Linked DNA regions of Rattus norvegicus. The protein of the gene in region 3 interacts with the protein of the main gene of each other region in a biochemical or structural test. Links are inferred from orthologs where the notes say so. Each region holds a gene or a part of one and is shown on either strand. Other genes may lie near its edges. The genes, in order: Foxm1, Pbk and Cdk1.

Region 1 (7,409 bases), on a different chromosome or scaffold from region 3:
TACTAAGTACCTGTAGTGACACAGAGGTCCCTGCTTTTGAGGCACTGTGGTACAGCACTTGCCTAATGTGCACAAAGCTGCAGGTTTCAGTCCCCAGAACTGCAAATGAGGGAACCGTGGAAAGGAAGAAGGAAAGGAAGAGGAAGAGAGCTAACCAGAAGGAAACAATCACATCTCAGTATAGCACAGTCCGCTTCAGTTCTCGTCAGAGAAGGCTTTCTGGGTAGGAAGACACTTAACCTGTGGAAGGAACCAGGAGAAGCAAAAGCCAGGAAGGTCACTGGAGGCTGAGGTGCACCACATGCAAAGACCGTTACAGAGGGCTTGGGGGCACATGCTAATTAGCACACCTGAGGCAAGAGATCTGGAGTTCAAGTCAAGCTTGGGCTGCACACAAAAAGCTCTCAAAAGCCAAACCAAACCAGATGCGGTGGGGCGTGCCTAGGATCCCAGCCCTAGGGAAGGGAGACAGGAGGATCAGGAGGCTCAAGGTTGCCTTTGGCTAGTGAGAGACCACCCTGAGTCACGTGAAACCTTAAACAGCCAAAACGCTGTTTTGTGAATTCAGAGAATCACAAGGTCATTGCAGACTGAGTGAAAGATAGCTCAGCAGTAAAAGAACTTGCCTCAAAAACCAAGGGCTTGAGTGTGTTCTCCAGAACTCACAAGAACTCGGAAGGCCGAAACTAATTCCCAAAAGATGTCCTTTGACATCCACATGTGTGGCATGTGTGTCCTCACAGGCATGTGTCCTCACACACAATGTCACTATCTATGAGGATGTGACTATCTAGCTAACAAAATAAAAAAGGAAAAGAGGCTAGGTGTAGGTGAGGTGGTAACATCCATCTCAAATCCCAGCATTCAGGAGCAGATTTCTCTGAGCTGGAGGTCAACCTGATCTATTTAGTGAGCTCCTTGCTAGTGGGGGATACAAAGTGAGACCCTGTTTTTAATAAAAGTTTTAAAGGATAAATGACAAAAAAAATAATATTAAACATGGTGTCAACATTGAGTCTGAAAACCAAGTGAGGCCACATGAGAGTGGGGTGGGGGTTGAGTAATCAATCATTACAGAATTTCAGATAGAAGCTTAGGCTCACATCTAGGTTTTGTTAAAAGACAAACAAACAACCAAACAACAAAAAAAACAGCCCACAGATTCTCTAGAACATAAAGAGGGGTCAACTGAGTTACGGGATGAGCCCCATGTACTTAGTACCCAGCTGGTTCAATCCTGACCATATATGATCTATTAGTTTCCCCTATCTTTCCCCTTGCATGATTTTGAAAAAAATGCATTCCTTTCAGTTTTCAGATTGAACCTCAGGCCTCAGCGTGTTAGGCGATAACGGTACCACTCGGCTGTATACCAGTCGTCTTATTGTGAGACATGGTCTTGCATAGCCTCGCCTGGCTTCAAATACACTGTGTAGTCTCCACCTCCCAAGTGCTGGTTCCCAAGGCATGCCCCACTGTTTTAGGTGCTTTTTCTGTTGCCATCATAAAATTCCCTGGAAGGCAAGTGAAGGAAAGAGGGGCTTATTTTGGTTCACAGTTCCAGGGTAGTCCTTTGTTGCTGGAATCATAGCAGCTGGGCACATCCCTTTAACAGGCAGGAAGAAGATGAACTCTCCTGCTCGGCTAGCTTTCTCTCTTTAGTCAGTCCAGGCCCACAGCCCATGAAATTGGGCCATATCCCACCCATCTCTGTCTAATCTAGATAAGCTCTTATATACTTACCCAAACAAAATCTAAGTCAGGTTTTGCACAATCTTGGCCTTTTTTTTTTTTTTTTAATTTTGAGATAGAGTCTTACTATGTAGCCTTGGCTAGCCTGGGGCTGGCTATGAATACCTGGCTGGCCTGGAATTCACAGAGATCCGCCTGCTTCTGCCTCCTGGGTGCTGGGATTAAAGGCGTGAGCCACCACATTCTGGTGTCAGTGAAAACCCACCAGCCTCTAACCTGTTCACCTCTCAAACACAGTCTTTATCTGCTCCCCATCTCATAGCATACCACGCCCCCTAAGTCTTAGTTCAAATCCCTGTGACCTTCAGCCTTTGTGTTCACCAGCCTAGCCTCCTCCAGTCAAAACATCTCCCTTCTTTTTTTTTTTTTTTTTGGTCTTTTTTTCGGAGCTGGGGACCGAACCCAGGGCCTTGTGCTTCCTAGGCAAGCGCTCTACCACTGAGCTAAATCCCCAGCCCCAAACATCTCCCTTCTTAATCTAGCTGCTTCAATGTTTCCTTCCCTTCTGTGTAATGGGTGACAGATCTTACACCTTGTTCTCAGCTCATAAGGAAGGAAGGAAGGAAGGAAGGAAGGAAGGAAGGAAGGAAGGAAGGAAGGAAGGAAGGAAGGAAAAAGAGAGGAAGAAAGAAAGGAAAAAGAAAGGCTTTCCTGCCCTAAGTCAAGATTTTCTCGTTAAAATAAATACTCAAATTTATCACTGGCGGCTGCGGGAGGGCGAGCCAGTGACCCGGGCTACTCCGAAGGCGGAAACACGAGAATCGAGAATTCTACACATGGGGATACCCGGGGTCAGACAAAACCCACCGGCCTCTAACCTGTTCCTCTGTAGCTAGAATTCTACCGATCTGTTCATCTCATTCTGGGCTCCCTCTCCATCAGACCACCGGTGAGCCCAGGGGAAGGACGGCCCGGTCTGCCACTGTACCTTCCACTCTTTCGTAAAGTATGGAAAAAAGATCGTCCGGACACCTCGGGGCTGGGCCCGAGGTGGAGGCGGCCACAGACAGGGGCGGGGCGTAGGGCACTTAACCGCAAGTCTGGGGACAGAAACCCAAGCTGGACCCCACGCAGCAACGAGGGCTGAGCCGCGCGGTGGATCCAGAGGTAGCCCAGTGGGTAGCTAACCGGGGGAGTGGCGTACGCTGCCCCGGAAGGAAGTCGACCACGGAGGCAGGGCGGTCCGGGGCGGGGCGGAGCAGGCTGCTGGCCGCGGTCCGCGCGTCCCCGCGTCCCTCCCGCCGTCCCTCGAGCTCCGGGGCCCCCTTACCCGCCCTCCCGGCCGCGGCCGCCGCTCCTCAGGACGCCGAGCGTTCGGGGCCGGAACCCGGAGACAAGCCGGTGCCGATTGGCGACGCTCCGTCACGTGACCGCAACGCTCCGCCGGCGCCAATTTCAAACAGCGGAACAACTGAAAGCGGCGCTGCGGGACCCACCCCCGGCCCGGGCTCACCCCCCACCCCGCCCCGGGTTCCCACCCCGGCCGTCCCGCCGGGACCCGCCCGCCCTGGCCTGGCTCGGCCCCGCGTGGAGCAGCGGTGGCCTGTGAGGTGAGTGGGGTGCGACCCGGTCCGGGGAGGGCTTGGAGTCGGGACTGCCGGGGCTGTGGGGCGCGAGGGGGTGTTGAGGACCGCCAGGAAGAAAGTCTGAGCCGCCGGCCTCGGCTTTCCCGCCGCGTTCTCCGAGCACCCCGGGACCCTGGGAACAGGCCTGCCCTCTGAGTCTGCACTTGCAGTCAACCCTGCCTCCGCCTCCACAGCTGCAGGGTGGGATCCTAGCTGAGCGTTGCAAGGTTCCCGGTTCTGTGTGGAGAATGGGGTCTTTGGGGATGGCTCTGCAAGTCGCCTTGCGCTAGAAGATTTTGGGAGTGTTAGGAAAAGGCTGGTCAAAGAGAGAGGTACCCTATGGTGGGGGGTGTCTACCATTTGATTGGGGTGGGTGCAGTGTGAAGCAAAACGAGAACTGAGATTTGAAGGTCGAGAGAACGAAGTATAAAGGAGAGAAAGCTACAGGGAGGAAGGGACCTAAGAAGGCTAAGCAGCTGGCAAATGTCAAAAAAGTGTAATTACTTTTTGGAAGGTTTCCTAAAGTGCCGGCTGTTTCTCCCTTTCTCGCAGGATTGCAAAATGGAGTGGCAGGATTTAATTTAATGATAAATTATTCTATCTATCTATAAAAACCTATGAAATGCTTTTTCTAAAGACTTCCTTCCTTAGCATTTCAAAGTGACTTTAGCATAGCCAGGCATAGTGGTGAATGCCTGTAATCTCAGCACCTAGAAAATTGGGGGCCAAAGGCTCAGTGGTTCAAAACCAGCCTGGGCTACATGAGACGCTATCTCAAAAATTAAAGCCACCTTAAGCATATTAATGATAGCACATTTTGGTATGGAGAAGATCTGTATTACAGTCTTTAGAAGCAGAAAAATCAAGTATTATACTTATAAAACTAAAATATAGTTACTCTCAAGTACCAAAATGTCACTGTGCAAATGCTTTGCAGATTTTGAAAGAAAGAATGGGACTGGAGAGATGGCTCAGTGGTTATTGACAACTATTGAAAAAAATTATTTTTAATTCAAGAGGATTGGAGTTTTTAATTGTAGTGTGCTTACCAAGCATTCACAAAGCTCCAGGTTCAATTCCTACCACTACCTAAACCTGGCATTGTAGCCACACCTGTGATTCTGGCAGGTGGAGGCAGGAGAATCAGACGTGTAGGTCAGCTGCATTATTTGAGACGGAAAGAAAAGGGCACTAGGACTATGGCTTGGGTAGAGTCTTTCATTCGTCCCTACAGTCATCGAGAGTGACCTGCATTCTAGTGGACAGTGGCTGGTATTTCCACATTCTTGTAGATGTGTATTCCTCTGGCCAAACATTCAAAAAGAGGTTTTTGCATTTTTACTGGGGCGGGGGTTGGGGAGGAGGGTTGCCCACATGCCACAGCACATGTATGGAGGTTGGAGGGTAACAGTCAGGAGCTGATTCTCTCTTCCCACCATCGTGGTCCTGGGGACTGAATGCAGGTGGCCAGGCTTAGCAGCTGATGGTTTCGGTCATTGAGCCATCTTGCCAGCCTCCCCTCCCTCCCAAATCTTTCTAGTTTGTTTGCCTTTTTGTAGTACTGGGAACTGAACTTAGGGCCTTGCTAAGCAAGCACTCTATTACTAAGCTACATTCTCAGCCTGGCCAAACATTCTTAAGCTTACAGGGGACCATGCACTTCAGTGCAGTCCCATGTTCCCATCTTGAAGTGTTTGCTGCAGTTTTCAGCTTTCCTTGGTCAGTGATAGGGCTTTATTTGTTTGTTCTTGTTTGCTCGTTTGTTTTTGAGACAGGGTCTCATGTGGCCCATGCTGACCTTGAATTCACTCTCTGGCTAAGGGTGACCTTAAACCTTCTAGGTGCTGGGATCACAAGTGTGCATCAAACCTAGCTTCTGTCCTTATTGTCTGAGGGTTGGACAAAGGTCCAGGCAGGATTCCCCTGGGCCTTTGAGCTTCTGCTTCTGTCTGTTCATGCAGAGGAACACTTCCAGTTTGTCTCAGCCCAGCAGATCTGATAGCAAGCTTCTCCTTGCCCTCTGCAGGGTCAAAGCTTGTGATTCTCGATGGAGAGTGAAAGCACAGCTTCATGATGAGAACCAGCCCCCGGCGGCCACTGATTCTCAAGAGACGGAGGCTGCCCCTTCCTATTCAAAATGCCCCGAGTGAAACCTCAGAGGAAGAAGCAAAGAGATCCCCTGGACAGCAGGAGCCTACTCAAGCACAGGCCTCCCAAGATGTGGCAGAGTCCAGCTCTTGCAAATTTCCAGCTGGAATCAAGATTATCAACCACCCAACCATGCCCAACACACAAGTGGTGGCTATCCCCAACAACGCGGACATCCAGAGCATCATCACAGCGCTGACTGCCAAAGGGAAAGAGAGTGGCAGCAGTGGGCCCAACAAGTTCATCCTCATCAGCTCTGGTGGGGCCTCATCTCATCCTCCTGATCCTCAATCTCAAGCCCAAACCAGCACTGATTCCAAGAGAACAGAACTGATCACCGAGACGTTGGGACCAAAGCCAGGGGCTAAGGGTGTGCCTGTTCCCAAGCCACCTGGAGCTCTTCCAAGGCAAAGACAGGAGAGCTGTGGTATGTGGTCTGCAAGGGTGTGGAGGTTGGCTTTTCTCCTCACTGGAAAGGTCTTCAGTGTGTCACACTGATGTCTGTGGTAGGCAGGAATCTAGGAGGAACCAAGAAGAAGGCCTTTTCTTCCTTTATTCTTTGAGCATTGAAACACCTGAGAGCTGTTGAAATGGTTATAGTAATGTAGCTTTCCTGTTGCTCTCTTTATGTTGGAAAAGGGTTGGTTGGTTGATTCATTCTTTGTATTGACATGTGTCTTAGTGACTATTCTGCAACTCTTAGAAAAGAAAGCAACCTTTGCTTATACTTCCAGAGGTTTAGTCCGTTACCAACATGGTGGGAAGCATGGCAGCATGCCAGAGAACACTGGAGCAGCAGCTGAGAGCTACATCCTGACCTGGGCCTAGAGACACAGACCCTGGGCTTCCTCAGCGATAGACTTCCTCTGACAATGCCACACACCCTAATCCTCCTCATTTCAAATATGGGGGCCATTCTTATTCATACTTGTAAGGAAGTAAATTTCCATTTTAAAGAAATAAACCAAAGCCCAGGGAAGAAAAGTGACTTTTTTGTGTAGCTACCAAAATTTGCCTTGACAGATGCCTGAGGTTCCATCTGTCTCATTGAAATACAATTTATTGTTCATGAATGTCTACTGAAGTCCATAATGGAGCAGAATAACTTAGAGCCACAACGATTTACCATGTATTCCCTGTCCCTTAGAACAGGTCTCAGAGGGGTTATCCCCAACCGTTGGTTTTGGTAGAGCTGTAGGGCATCTGAAGAGGCTGCTAATGGAGTCTTGGGTTGTTTTCCCTCTAGCAGGTGGTGAAGCGGCCGGCTGCACACTGGACAACAGCTTAACCAATATCCAGTGGCTTGGAAAGATGAGTTCTGATGGGCTGGGCCGCTGCAGCATTAAGCAGGAACTGGAAGAGAAGGAGAATTGTCACCTGGAGCAGAATCGGGTTAAGGTGAACTGTTTGGAAGTTCTAGTAGCACTACCTAAGGCTTTTCTGTGTGCTGTTTCTTTTAAACATTGTCCTTCTTTTGGAGGTATTGGAGAGTGACTATAGCAGTATAGGCTGGTGGTGGTGGTGCAGGCCTTTAAGGGAGGCAGTGGCAGGCCTGCTCTACAGAGTGAGTTCCGTAACAGCCAGAGAGCCAGAGCTACACAGAGAATCCCTGTTGAGAGAAAGAGAGAGACAGAGACAGACACACTAAGACTGACTGACTATATCTTGCTTGGGCCCTCCTGCCTTGGCCCCTCAGTAACTAGGATTGTGTGTGCCAGCACAGCCACCTCTGTGACTTCTGAGATACTTTACTGTGTGGGACCTCTTACTGTCTCCATCTGTGGCTCATCGAAGGCTCTAGCACTGGGTTTAATATCCTGGGTTTAGTGGCCCTTAGTAAATATTCAGGAAATGATGAAGGTTCTTAGCTAAGCCATTTGGACTTTTTTTTTTTCTTTTAAGATTTATTTATTATATATGAGTACACTGTACTTGTCTTACCAG
Region 2 (7,309 bases), on a different chromosome or scaffold from region 3:
GTCCTAGTCACAGGGTGTCCCCACACTGTAATAAAAAAACCTATGCCGGGTTGGGGATTTAGCTCAGTGGTAGAGCGCTTGCCTAGCAAGCGCAAGGCCCTGGGTTCGGTCCCCAGCTCCAAAAAAAGAAAAAAAAAAAAACAAAAAAAACCTATGCCATTACTAATCTTACAATAGGGCTTTAAGATGATTTTGTACTGCTGTTTTCAAATGCTAAGTTTTTGCTTTTGTTTTTTAGTATTATGTTCAACTCCATGTGTAAATATCCCTGCCTCTCCATTTATGCAGAAGCTCGGCTTTGGGACTGGGGTCAGTGTTTACCTAATGAAAAGGTGAGTGAGTGAGTGAGTGAGTGAGTGAGTGAGTGTAAGATTCTGCTTGGGGGACTGTAGGTCTCTTGTACTTGGATTGGGGAAGTTTCTCATCACACCTGAAGGCCACATTCCAGTTCTAACTGCTGGAGTTCTGCCCCTAATACTTTACTTCTGGATTCCTCCTGCTAGGTTATGAAAAGGGAAGTAGCTTAATCATTTTCCTTTTGGTTCTATAAGGAGACAAAGTGGTAGAAAGATCCGAGAACGCAGCGTTGAGTGTGGTGAACAGGTGGAGAGTGTTCCATGTGGAGCTGAAGTAGCTGATAGAGGAGAGGAGAGGCTAGGGATGGGGAACCACAGTCACTGGCTCTAGGGAAGGGAGAGTCACTTCTCTTTAGGGATGCAGGCCCAGAGAGGCTACCCGTGCACTGAGTGGACTCGGTGGGCCTAAAAAATAAAAACACATGAAGTTAGGAGGGAAGTAGTGGTGGTGGAATAGAAGAGGAGCTGGAGGAGAGGGAGTGGGAAGTAGATTTGATCAAAACAAATATGTGTGAAATTTCAAATTATAATAAAAGAATAGAATTCTATTATATAGAAACTCTAAATTTTCAATATTAATTAAAGCATGTCATAAATCATCTCTGATACATATTGATAAACATTGATTAAATAGTAGGCTGACATGCCAGGATAGAAATGTTAGAAAATAGTGTAGCAGTTCTAAAGTTTAATTGTACTTTGATAAGTTCCTAACAGTCCATCCTTATTTTTGTCCTTTAATCCCTTCTCAGAGCATAGATATCTTATCAGGTTCTGATTAAATGTTGACACTGATTTACTCGAAGCAGAAATGTAACAAGTGCTGACCAGCTAAAGAAATACTTTTAAAAACCTATTTCTATGGAGCAAAATTTGAGTGTTGGTGTTTCTTATTTGTTTTGTATCACTAAGTTTACATATGTATGTTTTAGATCTCCGAGAGGGTTGTCCCATTCTCCTTGGGCTGTGAAAAAGATAAATCCTTTATGCGATGATCATTATCGAACTGTGTATCAGAAGAGACTAACTGATGAAGCTAAGATTTTAAAAAACCTTAATCACCCAAACATTGTAGGTAAGTCTACATTTACTTTGTGGCAATATGTGGTAAGCAATGTTCTGTATAGTATCTGGTTTTGCTAATAATGTTGGGTCTACACGTTGTTGGGGAAAAGTTAATGTGAGTTCACATAAGGGGCTGGAGAGATGGATCAGTAGGTAAGAGAACCTATCATGCTTGCCGAGGACTCAGGTTCAGTTCAGGCATGCATGTGGTGCACATATAAACATGCAGGCAAAATATAAAATAAATAAAAAAATATTTAAAATGCACATATTTTAGATCTTTAAGTATTTGTATTTAACCTTCATGGAGTTGGGTTGGAAGTAGTTGTTTTAGTGCTGGTTCTGAGATTTCTGGGATGTAGAATGGTCTTCATGTAGACCATTCATGTTCATTTAGATGGATTCTTGTGCTGTTTCCACTTTGCATTTTTGATACTAATGAGGCTGGTGGAATCATTGTTTACAGAAGCATAGTAAAGTATTTTGATCTGTGCTGCTAGACACACCCGAAGGCATCTGAATTATGCCTCTGGGCTTTGTAAACAGTAGCTGCTTCACTGTGATAGTCCAGGTACATGTTACATTATGAAGAGTTTAATAGAGAAATGTTATTTTTTCTTAAGGCTATCGTGCTTTTACTGAAGCCAGTGATGGTAGTCTGTGCCTTGCTATGGAGTATGGAGGTGAAAAGTCTCTGAATGACTTAATAGAAGAGCGGAACAAAGACAGTGGAAGTCCTTTTCCAGCAGCTGTAATTCTCAGAGTTGCTTTGCACATGGCAAGAGGGCTAAAGGTAACTATTTCACTGGATTTTAAACAGCTTTGGTGAACTATGAAGAAATGAACATGTGTTGTACCTATTTTGTTTGCTGTGCTTTTGGATAGGTAGAAGATAAGGGAAGAAAAGAAATGGATACATAGCTGGGCACTGGTGGCACATGCCTTTAATCCCAGCAGGCAGGAGGCAGAGTTTTGAGGAAATGGCTACAGAGAAATTCTCTCTGGGGGTTGGGGGGATTATATTAAATACTGGTAATAGTGACTCTAGAGAACTACTTGCAGTGTAATAATAGAGATGTTAGGGTTACATGTTAAGGTTTCATAGGAAATTGGTTTTTGGAGCAGATTGAGAAAAAACATTTTAATTATAATTTTTAGTACATTTTTAGATAACTTTAGATAAGATAGAGCTGGCGTGGTGATACACACCTTTAATTTCCAGCATTTGGGAGGCAGAGGCAGGTGGATCTCAAGGCCAGGGAGTTCAAGGTCAGCAGGGTGAGTTCCATGACAGCCAAAGGATAGCAGCATCCGAATTACTCACTGACTCATGACTTGAAGTATGTATATATAAGGAAATGAATAAATGACAGTGTAACCATGTTGGGGCCTCTTCACCACATGATAGGCTGCATTTGAAATAAGGCAGATCACAGCAAGAATGGCCTCTCATTTCACAGTTAGGCTCACAGTGTAGTACTCAAATGCTGCCAAATGAACAGACAGCCATTGTGCAGCACTGTTCAAAATGTGACTATAATTGTTTGCAACCCAAGAAGTTAATGTATAAAACATAATATAGCTTTGCATTACATTTTTGCTTCTGCTTATGAATTATGGTGGCCCCATCTCACCTGCTTTTCTTGTATTATATCAAAGTTGAGGTAAGTTGTGAAGATTCTGAAATTAAGTCTAGAACTACTGGCCGGCCTCAAGTGAATCTGGTGTTTGGAAATCTTCTGGATAGAAAATTATCTGGGCTTTGAGAATTCAAACATCTTTAAGAAAATTTTTAGAGGACGTGGCATGTTCCCTTCCTGGCTTCAAATACTTGGACAAGTCTAGTTACAAAGCCATTGTTTTAAGAGTTTTTATTCATTTTTCTACTAATGTATTGGATTGCTTTTTCCAATTTTAGTATCTGCATCAGGAAAAGAAGCTGCTGCATGGAGACATAAAGTCTTCAAATGTTGTAATTAAAGGTGACTTTGAAACAATTAAAATCTGTGATGTAGGAGTCTCTCTGCCATTGGATGAAAATATGACTGGTAAGCAGCACTGTTTTAAATTCATACAACTTTGCATTGTAAACATAATAAACCTACATGGTTTAAAATTAACTTTCTCAAAAGTGTATAATAGAGTGTCTTTGCTCCTTCCCTTGCCACATGAACACTTACTGACTTCTTGGTAGTAATTTTTTGTTTTTGATTTGTTTAAATACGTCAGTTGAGGATGGCCTTGGGCTCACAGGCCTCCCAGCCTTCAGCCTGTGGCCACACTGGCCCTAATAGCCTGGATTGTAACTGAACAACTATAGGCAAGACGTGCCCACTAGGTTAGAGCTTCCCCAGCTCCTGGGCATTCTTATTTAATCATGCTAAATAGGATCAACTATTCCATCTTCCCTTTTCTCTTCAAATGTTTCTTTCTTTACTTGTAATTTTATTGAAAGCCTCAAAATAGAATTTAAGATTAGCTTTGATTAAACTGCTTGTTTTTCTCTCCTGTTTGGAATGAGTTAAAAGCATTTTGTTTTCAATTGTATCCTTATTTGTGTGAAAATGGAGATTATAGTAATGAAATACTGAAAAATTAATACACTTTAAAACTATCCAGTGAATTTGACTTATCTTAGTTACAGAATAGTTTTTAAACTTGTAAAGCAAATTCTGCCTTAAGGAAGATATCTTAGGTATAATACTTTACCAGAAAAAGGAATTAAATTAGAAACTACAAACAAAATATCCAGGAGAGCCTTGGATATTTGGAACTTGAACAATGTAAATTTATGTAATTATAGAACGGTATTTAGATCACAGAGAATTGATTCATAAACACTAGTAGCTATTAGTGATTATGTTAAAAAAAGACAAAACTTGCCCCCACTGGCTTCATTTCTTTGTCAGCCAGGAAAGGAAGAGCAGAGTCTGTGAAAGAAATAAGGACAGGAACAGAAGTCAAGAAAAACAAATCCTGAAAAATGTTAGTAATAAAACCAAAAGCTGGATCCTTGGGAAAATAAAAATTCTCACCAAGATTGAGAAGAGAGAGATACTAGGCATGAAGAGGGTCTCAGCTGCATGCTCCACACATTTGTAAGGATGGCTACAGATAGCTGTATTCCACCAAGTTGTGAGCATAGATGAAAATGATTATTTCCTAGAAAAATATATTATCAAAAGAACTAGGAAGGCCAAAAATCTCTGTCTAGTAAAGAGACAATCCTATAAAGACTTTTACATGGTTGATTTTAGAAGAAAAGTGGTACTAGAATGACTGAAGTTACCAATTATATTCCTATATATTAGTAAAATAATAGAATGAAAACTTAAAAATTCCATGTATAAAATCCCAAGATATTTAAAAATCTGAGAATTAAAAAAAATGAATAAATCCATATAAGTTTAAGTCTCTAATCTGGAAGCCCTAAAGCATCATTAGGAGGGAACTAGATGGAGAAAGGTCTCTGTATTAGAAAACTGTTAATGTGGCATAGCACACCTGGAAGCACTGAAGTGTCATTCGTCTCTCGAACTCCGACTCTGCTGCTTGCAGAAGACCCAGGGCCCAGACTTGAAGTGCCTGCAGTGTCACACAGGCCAAGCAAGGCGTGCATCTGTACTCTTTATATTTCTATCACCGGTTAATTGAGACGGTTTATTTGTGTAGCTTTGGGCTGGCCTTGAGATCAACCTGCCTCTTCCTCTTTTTTTTTTTTTTTTTTGGTTCTTTTTTTTTTTTCGGAGCTGGGGACCGAACCCCGGGCCTTGCGCTTCCTAGGTAAGCGCTCTACCACTGAGCTAAATCCCCAGCCCCCTGCCTCTTCCTCTTGAGTGCTGGAATCACAGGCTCGAACCACCACTACCTGGTTGAACTGTTTTCTTACATTCCCACCAACTGATGAGATTTTTTAATACTTGCCAGTCTGATAGAGACAGATTCTTTATAGTGAGGTTGAATATAGTGATTAACCTCTGAACTCCCCAAATGGGTTTTGCTTGTGTTGTTTTGTTGGTTGCTCTCATGACTATTCTACTTGCATTTTGTTTTAGTGACTGATCCTGAGGCCTGTTATATTGGTACTGAGCCATGGAAACCCAAAGAAGCATTGGAGGAAAATGGCATTATTACTGACAAGGCAGATATGTTTGCTTTTGGCCTTACTCTTTGGGAAATGATGACTTTATGTATTCCACACATCAACCTTCCAGATGATGATGATGATGAAGGTATAACCACAAATAGGTTTTAACATAAATCTGAATTCCTTCTAGTAGATTAGTGCATACAATTGTCTTTCTGCTAAATCAAAATTTAGAGTTAAGATTATAGCAATACTGTGATTGGCTAGATTTAATCCTATATAAATGAGATAGACTGATAATAGGAAGATAAGGGTATTCCTCTCCCCACTCATGGGTTCTTATTTTTTCTTAAACAGTTTTACATTAGGTGGGTGGGGGTATCTAGTTGAATAGTTTAACATTTTGGAGAGAAAATAGCTAAACTCTGTGGCAGGAGATTTGGACAGACAGCCTGTGGTATATAGGGGAATGTGTACTGGATAACCCCCTCCTTGCAGGAGGGTAAATCATTGAGCTATTCCATGACCAACTTGATTTTGCTTGTTTTCATCTCTTACCTCCCTCATGTGCAGATGCAACATTTGATGAGAGTGACTTCGATGATGAAGCTTACTATGCAGCTCTGGGGACAAGACCATCCATCAATATGGAAGAACTGGATGAATCCTACCAGAAGGTCATTGAACTCTTCTGTGTGTGTACTAATGAGGATCCTAAAGATCGCCCATCTGCTGCACACATCGTTGAAGCTTTGGAACTAGATGGCCAATGTTGTGGTCTAAGCTCGAAGCATAGCTTGTATGGGAACTGTTAACTAGATGTATTTATTTAGCTAATATAACTTATAGTAGCTAGATTCTAGAAGTAGCTTATTTTAAGACCATTGTACATAGTTAATAATTGTATAACCTTCTGACATGTTATTTCCTATATATGCATTTATTGTACTGGATAGTCTTTGAAGTTTAAAAAACTCTCCAGGTATCTAGATGCTGCTGCCCCTACTGATTTAAACACTAGTGACCTCTGTTCTAAGATGACTTAGAATCAAGGGACCATTGCTTTGTTAAAGACCGTTTTAGATATTCTTGCTTCTTTAATGGGTTACTAAAAATTTCACTATACACACAGTACAGTTAATTGTCTGCTCATAGTGTCCACCTTTTAGTTGGCCTGTTGGCCCATGTGCCCTGAAGCTTAAGAGCTTGGTGCAGAAGCATAGCCCCTAGAATGTTTCAGACCCTGGTTACTGTCTTGCCTCTCTCCACTCCTTAGCATCTAATTTACTTTGTTTTTACTGACTGTATACGAAGTCTTCTAAAAGCTATGTAAGAATAAACAATAAAAACAGTTTTAGTACCAGGCATCTCAGCATTATCTTCTGTTTTTGTTGATGTGTTAACCATTAGATTTGTGGAGTGAATGTGACTTCTTTCTCTCAACCTTGTTTTCTTATGTATAAAGTGAGGTTAAATTGTGTCAATTGTTTTGAGTCATAGCTCCTTGCAGTTACCAGAACTTACACCACCTGGTTTCACCATTTAGTTCTCTACCTTGGCAACAAATAGGAAGCATTAATTTCTAGAATTTCCTGGTAGGTTCCTCTTAGGAGTATACCAAACAGATCACTAATTAGCATATTGTTCATCTAAACAGTAGGAAAGTGACATCAAACTGAAAATTTACTTATGGAAAAATTGTTAAAGTGTGCACACAGGGACTCAGCCTTATCTGCTCCTTCTCTGATGTGTCATTTTAAATAGGTTTGCCCAAGTGACAGGTTCTACTTACTGGCCATAA
Region 3 (7,309 bases):
ACGGTGCCTGGCTGTTCCAGATTCTCTGTAGGGGATCTTGAATGGCTTGTTGAAATAATTTGAAAACTAGGTAATAACTGTCTACATTTTCTTCTGCCAAGTACCTGGTCAAACCTGTGAATGAGTTGTAACGTGTTTTTCCCGTGTCAGTGTTTTCTTCCGTAGTCACCTGGGTATTATTGTTGGTCACCATGCCGGGCGGCAGTCTTCAGATTACACAGTTGCCTGGCTACACATGGTTGGTGGGACCTTCGTTGGCGTTTAGTAAGCACTCCAGAAACATTTGTTTTTGATGAGGTTTAATGGATTTTTCCAAGCAGTGTTATCAAGCGTCTACCACAGGATAACTAAGATCTTATCCTTGCTTTTACTTGTCTGACACGTTTTAAAATTCAGTGTGTGGGTGTGTGCATTTGTACAGGTGTGCATAGCCCATGGAGGCCAGAGATGTCGCCTCTTCTGGAATTGGATTTACAGGAGGCTGTGAGCCTCGTGTGGGTATTGGTCCTTTGCAAGGGCAGTGTGGTCTAAACCCTGAGCCATCTCTCCGGCCTTGTTAACTTAAAATACTTCAGAATCTGAATATTTAATTTCAGAGCATTTAGTTTAGCTTGTGAATAGTGTGCTTTCCTTAGCCCTGTTTCGGTAGTTCCTTGAGAAGAGCCAGGAGTTGAGAGACAAGCAGGTCTGTGTTGTCTAAGAATCAACAGTTACTGGGTGGTGGCTGCCAATCGTGGCTCTGCACATTAGTCAAGAACGCAGTAGGGCACCGGGAGGAACCAAGATGTCAGAAGGAATCCTGAATTCACTGTTAACTTATTTGATCTTTTAGATACCTTACTAATTGACTTCTTTGATAAAATCATCTTGCTAATGGCTTAGCTGCTTGTGCCTGTCAGACAAGCATGGTTTCCACCATTAAGGAACACGTGAGCTCTGCAGACAGAATGTTGTCAGTTCTTTTTATCTGGAATTGCATGGTTATTTAATCAACCTAGCATTTGGTCAAAACAGTAAGGATTTTATTTGAAGTAATATTATTAAACTAACTGGTGTTTAGGAAAACACACTGTCCTGGAATTTAAGGGATGGCGGAACAGAGCTTCCGGGGACAGCAAGCTGCTTGCTGTTGTAAGCATTGGCCACTGGGCTGGATTCTTAGAGCGAGTAAAGGCTGTAGAGAAGCTTGTCTCCAACCTGGAATCCTCCTTCCTGAGTCTTACAAGCAGCTTGAGGATAGCTGTGTGGATAGCTCTGCTGTGAGTACAGCTCTGTGGCACCAGGCCTGGGGTTAGGGTCAATGCTGAAGTGACACCGATGTCATGAGAAGCTTTTCAACAAAGGCTTTACAGCGAGGGCCTTCAGTGCCTAGAGACTAGCATGGGTGTGAGAGAGCTGATAGCCCACCTCGATGTGTCTGCCGCACCCCAGTGTCTCTTCTTACTGCCATTGCTGTTCCTGTGACACTTGTGTTTTCCACATTCCCAGAGCTTAGGAAGCTTCCTCCTCTGGTAGATGATAGCAGCTTTATTGGGTTTAATAAAAATGTGCGGTGTTTCTGTCTCCACTCTGCTGGGTGAGGAGTGTTGACTGCATTTTGAGATATGTGTTGTAAAAGTATCAAGGGAACCCTAAGTCAGTACAGTTTTGTGAAAGTCTCACAGAGCCCCTCTCGGTACTGTTTCCCAGTCTTAAGTTTATGTAGCGTTTAACTACATAGCAGGATGTTTGATCGGTGAATTGCAACTCGTAGGAGATCCATGTTCCTGTGCTGGGTTGTGAAGCAAGCTTACCTGGGAGACTTAGGGTGACTCAGTGACTTTTATCTCTAAACCATGTGTGTGTTTGCGTGTAGTCATCTTCATTTCCTTTTTGAAAGTAGTTAATATGTGTGAGGTGACCTATCTGACCGCAGCCAGCATTTCTCTCCTGGGCCCCTCAAAGAGCTCAACTTTAAAAGAATCTTTCCGCTTTATTTCAGGGACTTATGGTGTGGTATATAAAGGTAGACACAGGACTACTGGCCAGATCGTGGCCATGAAGAAAATCAGACTTGAAAGCGAGGAAGAAGGAGTGCCCAGTACGGCAATCCGGGAAATCTCTCTGTTAAAAGAACTTCGACATCCAAATATAGTCAGGTGTGCTGTGTTGGAATTGAACCCATTCTCCCCGGGGCTGCTGCAAATCCATTTTAATGTGGAAAGTTTTCCGCAGTTTCTGGTTCCAGTGGGATGGAGTCCTGCTTGCTTGTTGATTGTGGTGCCAGGAGGAGGTAAAGAGAACCAGATGTTTGGAGAATCTGAGACATGATGCTAGAGTTGGCTGGAGGAGTAAGGTGCAGCCGCGAGACCCCTTCCACGAGAAGCTTGGTCAGCTCCTACTTTTAGGGCCCTGGTCCACAAAGGCCTCTAAGTCCCCAGAGGCTCCTAAGACAAGTAGCTAGGTTGGGGCATGAGGTATCCTATGTTCTGTTGACTCATTTGGGCTGGGTCTTTGAGGAAGCTGTCTAGTGGTTCATTGGAGTTTCTGTTGGCAAGAGGGACTGCACCCAAGGCTTGGGGCATGCTAAGAAAGCTCTCTACCACTGAGCTGTAGCCTCTGGCCTCTTAATTTGGGGTTTTGAATTTTTGAGACAGGATTTTACTGTAGCTCACCTAGATTGGCCTGGAATTTACTGCTGTCCTCTAACTCCCTAGTGCCGGGAATAGGGGTTTAATCCACCACACACCTCCACCCCTCTCACAGAATTACCCAGGTTGCCTTGGGTTCTTTCCACCCCAGGCAGCCTCTGAATTTAGAGGCCCTCAGCCTTAGCCTCTTCAGCGTCTGCCTCTGGTAGCCGCGGTGACAGGCCTCTGCCCCTGGCCTGGGTACTAACTATTGTACTGGGGCTGGGCCTAGGGAGCAGCTATTGAAGTTGGGTTCAACTTTAATGTCCACAAGCATCCAGCTTTGGGAGTGCAGGAGGCGTGAGCCAGCTCCTTCTGCACAGGGAGCTGTAGGTTACTGTCCTGAACTTCCTTCCTCGAGTTCTGTTCAGCACTTGTGTGTGTGGAAGCCGAGGCAGGCAGGGCTGCTTGCTGCACTCACGCCATGCTCTGCTCAGCCTGCAGGATGTACTCATGCAGGACTCCAGGCTGTATCTCATCTTCGAGTTCCTGTCCATGGATCTCAAGAAGTACCTGGACTCTATCCCTCCTGGCCAGTTCATGGATTCTTCGCTCGTTAAGGTAAAGAGTTGTGTACTTTTATTAATACTTAAATGCCCTCTGAGTGTAGACTCCATCCTTGTGTTTTGTGGCTGGATCTTAGAAAACCTGTAAGAAAATAGAAAGCCTCTTCCTTCCTTCCGCCCGGATGACGTCATCCTTTGCCTGTCTTATTTCCAGACAGTTCTAGACGTGCTACCCTATGGACTATATATTACATTGCTGGGGGCAGGACAAGGCTGCAGCAGTTCCGTGCAGATCAGTGACACCAGCCTGAACCTAGCGCTGATGCTAGGTGATCTTACTCTGTGAAAAATACGCTTTGGTTGATGTAAACATTTTATTTCAGTTAAAATATAAATGTATGTATTGGAGTTGGGGATTTAGCTCAGTGGCCCTGGGTTCAGTCCCCAGCTCCGAAAAAAAGAAAAAAAATAAATGTATGTATTACTCTTTGTGTGGGGGACTGGGTATTTGATCCAGGGCATTGTGCATAACTGGGCAAGCGCCTTTCTCAGCAAATGTGTGCAGGCTTTAAATGTCTGTAGTAAAGGAGTCTTAACCTTAAAGCAGCTTTATTCTCCCCTGAGCTGTGTCCATGCCTTGAGACTTTTCATGTTGGCTTTGTATATGCGTCCGACCACAGTGGGGTTGTTATGTGTGCTGCACACGAGTTAGCCCTCTCATGTCTCTGTTTTGTAATGGTTTAATCATTTTCACAGTTACTACGCCATTTCCACTTGTTACTTCCTCCTTTAGTGATGGCTGTTCTTCGTGAATCCTCAGGAGCGCTGGGGGTTCTTTCTGTAGCCCAGGCTGCCTAACCCTCCAACCTTTTTCTCCCAGGGATGGAGATTACAGGCATGGGCCACCAAGCCCACCACTTTATGTGATTTTAGAGATAAATCCTTGGAACTAGGATAAAATAAGTGCTTATATTTAAGATCTTGCTGAACAGGGCCATATGGCCTCTAAAAGTCAATTATTTATTACATTGTTACCAAGACTCACCATATGTATCTTTTAAATAGTCTCAGTATATTATGTGAAGGGCTTTGTTACAGTTACTCTATTTGACATTTATATACTGTGTCTACTCATTTATGCACACCCTGCCTGAACATATCGCTCAACTTTCTGTATGAGGATGTGGGTCAGCGAGTTCAAAGGTCATTTTACTGACACACGGTGATTTGCTAGTGGTGCCAACCATTGCTGGTGCTTACACTGTGTATGACTTAGTCGGGCTCAGTGTTGGCTGTGATGAAGGCTATTGGCCATAGCAACTTGGGGAAGAAAGGGTCTCAGAAGGAAGTCAGGATAGGAGCTCAAGCAAGACAGGATCCTGGAGGCAGGAGCTGATGCAGAGGCCATGGAGGGGTGCTGCCTACTGGCTTGCTCCCCATGGCTTGTTCAGACTTATTTCTTATAGAACCCAGGACCACCAGCCCAGGGATGGCACCACCCATGGTGAGCTGGGCCCTCTCCCATTAATCACTAAGAAAATGCCTTACAGGCGGTACAACCTAATCTCCTGGAGGCATTTTCTCAATTGAAGCTCCCTCTCCAATAACTAGCTTGTGTTAAGTTGACATAAAACTGCCCAGCACAATATTCTTAATGGGTTTTTTTGGACCTTGTTTTGTTGAAGGCATAATATATAAGATCACATGTATTAGAATAATGCCAGTATTTTCCTGCCCTCTCCTACCTCCTAACTTTTCTTTGAGATTCCTTTTGCTTTAAGAGTAGAGGGCTTGGGGGGATCTCCTGGGAAAATGCTCATGGTACAAGCGTGAGGAGCTGAGCCTCTATCATCTAGAAGCCCAGAGTGGGAAGGACAGAGGCAGGGACAGGGGGGAGTGGCTCTGTTGTGTCTCAGGGACTACTGGCCAGCCAGCTTGGCTAAAATGGTGAGCTTCAGGTTTAATGAGAAATATTATCTCAAAAACAAAGGTGGAAGCAATAGAGGAAGACGCTGATTTCCACCTGTGACCTGGGTACCTACATGGGTGTGAGCTCATACACACATAGGATAGTGAGCAGTGTGTGTGTGCGCTTGTGCACACATTAGAGAATTAGGTTATCAATAAACTTTTACAAAGGCCCAGTTTAAACTGTTTTACATATTTCTCTGTTGTCTCCAAAGAGGAAATGCATGTGTAAGTGACAGAAATGGGGGGAAAAATTTTATTTAGGATAGAAGCAGTTGACACGAGTGTGTTGAGGAAACTTCTGCACAGAAAGCTAACTTTTGACTTAAAGACAGGGAACAAAATTTTAAATGCTCCTGTGGGATACATCTTTTGATAACACGCACACTGCATGTGTAAACAGGTTTCCTGTCTGCCTGTTTTATGTTAGTCTAAAGAGGCCTAAAATGTCTTGTGATAGCTATCTCTGCGTCATAATTTATTTTTTTCAGAACTTTTTCCTCTAGGAATCTTGTAGAATGATCAAGTTTCCGACTTGCTTGTTTCTTTTCTAGAGTTACTTGTACCAAATCCTCCAGGGGATTGTGTTTTGTCACTCCCGACGAGTTCTTCACAGAGACTTGAAACCTCAAAATCTATTGATTGATGACAAAGGAACAATCAAACTGGCAGATTTCGGCCTTGCCAGAGCGTTTGGAATACCGATAAGAGTGTACACACACGAGGTGAGCAAAGCCCTGAGATTGTGGTTGCTGGAGTGCTGCCTCTGGTCTTTAAGCCAAGAAAGAAATACTTGGTTGAAAAAAGTGTCTGCAGCTAAGCAGTGGTAGTGCACACCTTTATTTAATCCCAGCAGAGGCAGAGGCAGAGGCAGGAGAATCTCTTTGAGTTCAAGGCCAGCCTGGTCTACAGGGCATAGTCAGGCCTACACAAAGAAACTATGTCTCAGAAGACCAAAAAAAAAGTTCTGTAGTATCAGTTTATTGCTTTTTTTTATTATCAATCCGCTCTCGTTTATGTGGACTATAGAGATGGAATCTTTGGCATCGTTTGTCAGGGGAGATTGATTGCTGCCTCAGCCTCAGGGAAGGGGTTTATTGTAGTTTTTGGGAGTTCTCATTTCTCTGTATTGACCTTTCCCAGACCTGTGCTCCCTCCTGATTGGACCCTGCTGTGGTCATTCAGATCAATTAAAAAGCAGGTTTTGCTGTCTGAGGTACTGTGATTAGATTTAGGAGCCAATTAGTGCTAGCGGAGGGAGCACTGGGGACCGAACCCCAGCCTGTGCTGCCCGGATGTTCTGTCACTGAGCTGTGCCCTTGGCCTGTCATCAAGCTTTGTCAGTGGGATCTTGATGGCTGGCATCTCATATGATTGCTCTGTTTTATTATTTCCTCTGTAGTGGGGTTTGATCCACAGGCCTCACACACTCTGCCCCCTGAACTGTGTTCCTGCTCCTTGTTTTGAGAAAGTCTCACTGACTTGCCCCGGCTGGCCCTGAGGTCACTGGAGTGGATAGACTTTGGCCTTGGGACTCCTGCACTGGCCTTCCCAGTAGCTGGGATTGTAGGTCCACACCACCAGACTGGGTTTCTCTGGTATTTCTGGAAGGGCGTTGACTTAGGAACATTGGCGCCCGGGGAGTTGTGAACCTGGAGTTAGAGGGTCGGTCCCTCCTTGTGTCCTTGGGTTTTTGAGGCAGAGTTCTCTGTAGCCTTAACCGGCCTCATTGACTGGGTAGCTACCTGCTTCCGGCCTGCCTGCTTCCTGGGTGCTAAAACTGCACAGACGTGTGCCCTGCCGTGCCTGCTCAAGGCTGTGCAGGGCTCTGGTCCTGCACATGCTGCGTGATAGGGAAGCTCTCCACCCACTGTACTGGGGTGGCCTCTGTCTTGTCTATTCCATTTTATTTTTTTCACAGTTTATTACCATGACAGTTTGATGGCCGTAACTGCTGCTGACCTCATTGGTCACAGAGGTCGTAGATTCACTATTTTTTTTTTTTTTTTTTTTTTTGGTTCTTTTTTTTCGGAGCTGGGGACCGAACCCAGGGCCTCGCGCTTCCTAGGTAAGTGCTCTACCACTGAGCTAAATCCCCAGCCCCAGATTCACTATTTTGATAAATAAACTAATTAGTTCTAAATCACTAATCAACTGGGTCCCACC

What was found.
Region 1: of the proteins of Cdk1 (region 3) and Foxm1, one has a biochemical effect on the other in vitro, tested with the Homo sapiens proteins (2 studies listed by BioGRID). The link is inferred for Rattus norvegicus from reciprocal best matches to the Homo sapiens genes CDK1 and FOXM1.
Region 2: the proteins of Cdk1 (region 3) and Pbk form a complex in vitro, tested with the Homo sapiens proteins (2 studies listed by BioGRID and IntAct, with this or other methods). The link is inferred for Rattus norvegicus from reciprocal best matches to the Homo sapiens genes CDK1 and PBK.

The regions. Positions count from the first base shown.
Region 1 is NC_086022.1:163,322,488-163,329,896, forward strand, and holds the start of Foxm1 (forkhead box protein M1), read left to right. Parts: upstream 1-3,140; 5' UTR 3,141-3,302; intron 3,303-5,343; 5' UTR 5,344-5,387; coding exon 5,388-5,892; intron 5,893-6,711; coding exon 6,712-6,863; intron 6,864-7,409. UniProt on the Homo sapiens protein: Transcription factor regulating the expression of cell cycle genes essential for DNA replication and mitosis. Plays a role in the control of cell proliferation. Also plays a role in DNA break repair, participating in the DNA damage checkpoint response.
Region 2 is NC_086033.1:44,202,698-44,210,006, forward strand, and holds the end of Pbk (lymphokine-activated killer T-cell-originated protein kinase), read left to right. Parts: intron 1-238; coding exon 239-332; intron 333-1,288; coding exon 1,289-1,431; intron 1,432-2,044; coding exon 2,045-2,214; intron 2,215-3,339; coding exon 3,340-3,469; intron 3,470-5,476; coding exon 5,477-5,653; intron 5,654-6,081; coding exon 6,082-6,323; 3' UTR 6,324-6,873; downstream 6,874-7,309. UniProt on the Homo sapiens protein: Phosphorylates MAP kinase p38. Seems to be active only in mitosis. May also play a role in the activation of lymphoid cells.
Region 3 is NC_086038.1:19,269,725-19,277,033, forward strand, and holds part of Cdk1 (cyclin-dependent kinase 1), read left to right. Parts: intron 1-1,981; coding exon 1,982-2,138; intron 2,139-3,106; coding exon 3,107-3,230; intron 3,231-5,697; coding exon 5,698-5,868; intron 5,869-7,309. UniProt on the Homo sapiens protein: Plays a key role in the control of the eukaryotic cell cycle by modulating the centrosome cycle as well as mitotic onset; promotes G2-M transition via association with multiple interphase cyclins.